Drosophila melanogaster: one gene and its partner. The gene in region 1 interacts genetically with each later gene. Each region holds a gene or a part of one and is shown in the gene's direction. Other genes may lie near its edges.

The links.
Region 2: of Synj (region 1) and mnb, changing one suppresses a phenotype caused by changing the other (phenotypic suppression), as found in Drosophila melanogaster (one study listed by BioGRID).

The regions. Positions count from the first base shown.
Region 1 is NT_033778.4:22,078,305-22,082,060, forward strand, and holds the start of Synj (synaptojanin), read left to right. Parts: upstream 1-1,871; 5' UTR 1,872-1,901; intron 1,902-2,138; exon of another isoform or gene 2,139-2,234; intron 2,235-2,380; exon of another isoform or gene 2,381-2,459; intron 2,460-2,770; 5' UTR 2,771-2,875; coding exon 2,876-3,756.
Region 2 is NC_004354.4:17,873,403-17,877,158, reverse strand, and holds the start of mnb (minibrain), read left to right. Parts: upstream 1-2,118; 5' UTR 2,119-2,279; coding exon 2,280-2,754; intron 2,755-3,756. UniProt on the Drosophila melanogaster protein: Role in the specific control of proper proliferation of optic lobe neuronal progeny.

The DNA.
Region 1 (3,756 bases):
ATCGAATCGAAACGATCGTGAGAATGAAAACCCATTAGGTTCTGATTGATGTTTATTTACAGTATCGTTTCTCATAGATCCCCCCTCTTATCAGTTAGCTGACTCAGGGGCCTTTTGGCCAAATAGGTGAGAAACGTTTGGCTGAGTCACACCATCGACCATAGTCGGTTTCAGCGTAATTATCACCGCACTCACTTGACTCGACCCTACGCTCCTAATGCGGGCTTGGCGGCGATTGCGCCCCTGTTTGTGTCTAAGTTATGTGGGAGGTGATGGGTCAGGCTGGTGGCGACCATTATAGCGTACTCTAGATGCTGCTCGTAGAACCTTCCAGTCAAATGATCGCATGGGATTGGTGTGGGGGAAAATTCTTTCGATTTCTTTCCACACAGCCAGCCCCTTATCTTAATGAACTTAAGCCATGACAAGCGAGAGACACAAAAACATATTTATGAATTAAATGACTACAGATACGAGAAGCGGGCATATCAGCGGCAAAGGGAGGGAGAAATATACATATATACATATGTGGTTGGACCTTCGATGCAGGTCCGGAACCAACCTAGGCCGACGCCTTTAGCTTACGCATTAGGTTATAACAATATAACAATTAGGCGCAGACGCATTCAAATGAACCAGGCGGGGTAGATGATATATTTGGTGGGCATACACTATTAACGACTGCTGATACTTTTTTTTTTGCACAGCCGCCCTGCCTAAAATGGGCGAAAATGCAATTTAAACGGAATGACGTACTTGGGGGGAGTGCTAAAAATTCCGAAAGCGGCCATATCTTGCTGGAATTATGTAAATTAATCAATCGTTATCAGTACCCAAGGCACGGCAATCCACTCGAATTTCAGTTAAGCGATTAGATAACATATGGGGGGGAATGCGAAAACCCTTCGACTAGAATTGTTGCTTCGCTTGCCAAGAGCTACATATGTATGTAAGCCGAACTATGGAAATAATGTACGAGTATTTGAGTAATTAGTGCGTATTTTTTAAATCAATTCGTATTCTAAGCCTACAACTAGTCAAACATACTTATCGAATAAACTGAGAAGCATGACCAATATAAATCTGACTTTATTTACTTTTCTGGTTCACAAAGAATGCGATGCAATGCAAATTTATTTGCGTCCTCCGGTTTCTGATAAGGCGGATTGGAATGAATCACCCGATTGTCTGTGATTTACAATTAGAGGTTTTGTTGCGACCATTGAGATTACTCAAAATGTCCGCAATGGGGCTATCTAATCGAATTGGAGGAGCATGGTGCGCACGTGAGAAGTGCCAAAAAAAAAATCAGAGCATAGTGAAACAATAAATAAATAATCATTACATTCCATATGTGCATACGGACCAATGCAAACAGTAGGCGATTAAGCGTTCTACATTCTATCGTAGCATGCAATTTTGAGTGACTAAGCTCCATGAAACGTTGTTTCTGAGACCTAATTATCTTAAAACAGCATTGAATTGCTTCCTGTTTGCCGAAAGAAGCGCAAGTGTAATCTTAGCATCAGAAATATTGCCAACTTTTTGGGTCGTTTCTTATCATATAATTTGAAAAGTGTGCAGTTTTGGGACAATTGAGATAAAGACTATATTTGTCCCAGTTTGATGAAAAATGGTTCAGATACTTCAGGGCACTGAGCGAAGCCCCTAGCCTCGGGCTATCGTCAAGTGTCCGCCGTAATCTTCAAAAGTGGTCAATACACTTGACTTTGATGTTTTAGTACACAATTTAAATTCAAATCTTTAGTTCGGCGCGCAGATCTCTGTCAACAGCTCGATAATTATCGAGGCCATATAGAATGCTGTCGTTTTCCGGCTTACCAAATACGGTCATACCACCCAAAGCTCTCCAGAATTTTGCAATAAAATCGCAAACAAAGGTATTAGGAGTATTAAGAGGCGTAAAAAATTCATTTGAGGAGCCAATAGTTTCGTGAAATCTAGTGTTTCCTCTTTTAAGTGGTCGCCAAGCATGCCGTTCGTTGGCTGCCTCTAAAAACAGTCAAATGCCTGTGCAAATTTCTCGTGAAAAATCCATAGAATGCACAAAAAATGTTTATCAGTCACTCACAAACACACGCACGCGCCAGCAGTGAGTGGGAGAGAGCGAGAGAGAGCACAGCTGCCGCCGGTGCATGTCATTGCTGTGTGTGCGTGTGTGGGTGAACTTGAGTGGGAGGCGGAAGATATTGGAAAAATTCCTCCGCTTTTCGGTTTGTTTATGTTTAAGAGTTGCCTATTGATTTTTAACAGGCGCCCGAAATTTTAGTGCCATTTCGGTTCAAAGTGTCTGTTGTACTAGTTGAACTTTCCCATTTCCACTCACCTCGTGCAAATCCTAAAATTAAAAGAATCAAAAACTTTGTGGTATTAAATTAACCCCAAATTTGAGCTCATTTGAGCTATTACGAAGTGCACAAAATAACTTAACTTAGCAAGTAAAACACTCACCAAAATATTTTTTAAAACTTAAAAAAACAACGAATGTAGCGTAGTTGATAATAACTTATTACTTAGTAAAAAAAATATTACGATAAATTAGTTTTAAAAGTGTTGCTCATAAATTGAAATCGAATGAGTCCTATAATTGTAGCATTGCAAACGACGAATCCCAATATTAAACCTACACCTTAAAAACGAAGTACTATTCTTATAAAAATAATAGATCTCTATTATGTAACTGATACACCCTTTAAAAATGTAACTTGTGAAATACACCCACAATTAAATTGTATTTCCCCACCAACAGATGTCTTAGCTTTAGCTGGACGCAAAACTTAAACTGCAGACAGTAAAGGACGAAATCACATTACTCGACTCAAAAGAAGACACACGGAAGAGAGATACCAACAAGATGGCCATGTCCAAGGTGATCCGTGTGCTGGAGAAGTCCATTGCCCCCTCGCCGCACAGCGTATTACTGGAGCATCGGAACAAGAGCGACAGCATCCTGTTCGAGTCCCATGCGGTGGCCCTGCTGACCCAGCAGGAGACGGATGTCATCCGGAAGCAGTACACCAAGGTCTGCGACGCCTACGGATGTCTGGGTGCCCTCCAACTAAACGCCGGCGAGAGCACCGTGCTGTTCCTGGTGCTGGTCACCGGCTGTGTGTCCATGGGCAAGATCGGCGACATCGAGATCTTCCGGATCACACAAACCACTTTTGTCTCGCTACAAAATGCAGCGCCCAACGAAGACAAGATCAGCGAGGTGCGCAAGCTGCTCAACTCGGGCACCTTCTACTTTGCCCACACCAATGCCAGTGCATCGGCATCCGGAGCGTCATCGTATCGGTTCGATATTACGCTTTGCGCCCAGCGACGCCAGCAAACGCAGGAGACGGACAACCGTTTCTTCTGGAATCGCATGATGCACATCCACCTGATGCGCTTCGGTATCGATTGCCAGTCCTGGTTGTTGCAAGCCATGTGCGGCTCCGTAGAAGTGCGCACCGTCTACATCGGTGCCAAACAGGCCCGTGCCGCCATCATTTCCCGACTGAGCTGCGAACGGGCTGGCACGCGTTTCAATGTCCGTGGTACCAACGATGAGGGCTATGTGGCTAACTTTGTGGAAACCGAGCAAGTGATCTACGTGGACGGCGATGTTACTAGTTATGTGCAGACGCGAGGATCGGTGCCACTCTTCTGGGAACAGCCAGGCGTCCAGGTTGGCTCGCACAAGGTGAAGCTATCACGAGGATTCGAGACATCGGCCGCCGCCTTTGATCGACA
Region 2 (3,756 bases), on another chromosome or scaffold:
TTGTAAATACGAGGGGACTGACTATAAATCAAATAAAAGTCAGTCATTTTGCAAATACACTTGACATTCCAAGATAAAAAATGGTGTTAATGTGGCCGCAGTAGTACAGCTGTAACGATACTACATTATTTACCTTTCGAGAATAAATCAGTTCAATATTACTGCTTTCGATGGCAGTGCCATGTTCTGCAATAATTCCACGCAAATGGGGCATATCACCGATAATAATAATTAGTATCAGGATCAGGTGCTATTTTAAATAATGGCCAGATTTCGAACAGCTAATTTGGGCTGCCTTTCCCCACCATTTCCACCGCTTTTCCTGCTCAGGCGAGGAATGCAACAATGTCACTGCATTCATTCAGTAAATAATATGTCCAACTGTTTGCTTATCACTCAACCGTCACCGTCTGTATTTGTTCCAATCCGCACTGTTTTGAAAAACCCGTAAGTCTATGCGGGACTTCCCCATTATTTGCCAAATATGTCGAGACTTTAGTATCCGATTAGCTGGCGCCGCCATCTGTTCATAAAGTTGTCAAGTGGTGGGTAATAGTAGTATTACAGTCGCAGTCACGTCACGATGTGAGTCACCTGCTCCGGATGCAATTATCGATGGTGTGTGATTGTTGGTAGTGGCCCTATCCCCCCCCCCCCCCTCATTCCTCGCCCAAAATGCAAGTGGCCAAAAAGGTGGCGGGGAGCGAACGCAAAATGTCGTCAACTATTTTTATTTTCGGCCGAGAGACGCGACAGACAAACAACGAACATGAGAACTTTGGGGCAAAGATCCCACATTGCGAACGGAGGATCGGATCGGATCGGATCGGATGGGATCCCTATAAATAGAGGGACTGGTGGCTATGCTCCTGCGAATCTTTCGAGGGGCCCCGAACGCATTAATTATTCAACTCTTCCATCGATTGGCAAGCGTTCAATTTGTTTATTATAAAAGCAAAATATTTTTTAATTGCTTTGGCGAAATGGAAAACACAAATTAGCTTGGCGTGTAGACAGACATTTACATAACTCGAAAGAACACAAGTTTATAATTATTTCAAAATCGTTTGGCATTACTGGGCATTTTAGTTTCGAAAACGATTTCCTATTTTTATGGCCCACTCTGCCAAGTGGCAGCTCAACCAGTTATACAGTTTTGTAACGCACTGCATTATGTACACACACTTTTTGCCTGGGGTTAATTACATTTTATTTTAATTTCACATTTCGTTTGCTTTGTTTTGATTTCCTTGACTTGCCGACGACGCAAAAGCCGAAACAAAGAAATGCATACTTACATATGTATGTATGTATGTATGTATGTATATTTGTATCTTTGCGCGCACGAGACAAGTGCGAGCACTTTCCCACCCACAACCACCCAGCGTTCCCCCATTTACCCCACATGCATTCGCTACATGTCACTACGCTACATGTCATTATTGAAATGCCATTATCAACGAAAAGCGGAACTCCCTCTGTCAAAAAAAACACTTGTGATAGAAAACAAAAGGCCAGCCAGAAGTGAGCTTTTCACCAACAATAATGGGGGAGAATACCTAAGAAAACCGATTTATTCGTTTGTGGTTAATCACAAGCAAGTGCAAGTAACTCTGTGATCAATATGGAGATACTGAAAGGTATTTACCCAACACTGTTTCAATCAGTTGAGCTTCTTCAACACCAGAGATGTGCACTCCGAAACAAAGGTCGAAAGGTATGGATTTGACCAAGAGATATCACCAAGAGATTTTTCTATTTCCCATTTACTCAAATGCAATTGTGCAACACTGAACGAGTCTAGTGTAGTGTTAATATAGCGAATTCCGATGCCAGATAGCCGGGCATTCCCTACTTTAGCTTCATGATCATTACCACGCCGAGATCGTGATGATCGTTGCTGCAATCTCGCTATCGGCGCTCGGCTTCGTTCGTGTGTTCCGCATAAGTGCAGCAAAAAAGTGCAAAAACACCAAGTGAAATAAAAGAGCAGGGAGAAAACACGGTTCCGTATAAATAAAACAGACGACAACAACAACAACAACGACGAGTGGCAAACTTTGGGGACAGAACTGGGGGAACAAAAACCGAGGCAGTTTGCGCTGAATTTTCACACGAAACAGACCGCGCTTCATACAGCCAGATCCAAATGGATCTTAAATTACTTAAATAAACTATATAAAAATAAACGAAATAAGCATATCATTTTGATTGAAAAAAGGAAGCGGTTAGTGCAAAGTGCGTTCGCGATTCCGATTGCGATTCCGATTGCCAGTGATATGTCGACGGCCCTGGTTTATTGGCAGTCAATGAATGGCGGCGATCCGGTTGACAAGGCCACCGCGGATTGGGCGCCATTCGTGGTTGGTGCAGCAGCTGGTGGCAGCTTCAGTAGCAGCATCATCACCAGCAGCAGCAGCAGCTTGAACCACCATCCGCACAACGGCCACCACAATCACCATCATCCGCCTCATTACATCAATTATTTGGCGCAAATTGGCTGCCAGCATCGTGTCAGAAATTGGCCAACAAATGGCAATCAGGATCAGGCGGATGACGACGACGCTGGCCATCAGATCATCTCTAAATTCCTGCCCAAAAGTGCCTGGGACACGGTGCTGTTGGATGTGAAGCGGGATGTAGATGAAGATGGAGATAGAGATAGAGATCGGGTCGATGGCAATGTGCTGATGGTTCAGGGATCGTCATCATCATCATCGAGAATGAAGGCGGAACGGGCACTCTATTATACTAGTAAGCCCATTGGATGAAACAGAGAAGTTGGCCTAGAAAAATTTGTTGCATGTCAGTTTAACTGACCGACAACTTTTTTTTTTGCGTTTGCACAATTAGTCAACGAATAGAAAGGAAAAGTATCTTTGCTCTCGCCACATGTTTTTTTGGAAATTAGAAATGGAGTGTTGGAATATCAAATGTCGCGGATTATCATCGAAAACACAGCTGCTGCCACTTACAGGTTTTACCCTGTTGCTTGATTTTTTCATTCTTGTTTATAACGTTGGGTCTATTTTTGTTGCACAAGCCATCAGCGAACGAAGAGCGAAGAGCAACAAAACAAAAAGAGTGAGCATGTGAAATGGTCATAGGAACGTGGGGAAATAGAATCTACAAACGGCAGAATTATGTATCTGCGCCTGCATATTGTGTAATAATTTCAGTTCAGTTCCGTCTGGTTCTAAAATTAAGGTAGAGCTTCTTTTTTACTTACCTCTGCTGGCCTGCCAATGCACAGGAAAAAAATATTGCTAGCAAAAGTAGATTCTTCGGAAAGGAAGAGAAATGTTCCAATTCGTTTTTTTTTATATGGCAGCATCATGTGCTTACTATCTTTAACTCACTAGTATGACCACCAATTCAACAACTAATTTTAGAACGAATTTTGCATCTTGAGTTAAAAAAAGAATGCATGACTCTGGGCTGGCTCTATATCAGATCTTAAATGGGAATTGGCAGTGTTTTTCCTGCGGTGTGTGTCCACACTTTTCGCCCTACCCTTTGCTTTTATTATCGTTTTGGCAACTCTTGACGCTGACGTAGTCAGGTGTGCAAGAAAACAGGTGCATTTTGCAGAGGAGCGGTGTCCGAGCGATCCGGTCAATGAACCAGCACAGAACGGCGCACAACGAAGGCGGCAAGCAAATACATCGCAATAATTATATATACACACATATATATTTGTATAATTCCCGCCGATATCTGATAGTATCTCTGATCTCTTCCTTTCTCTTACGCTCT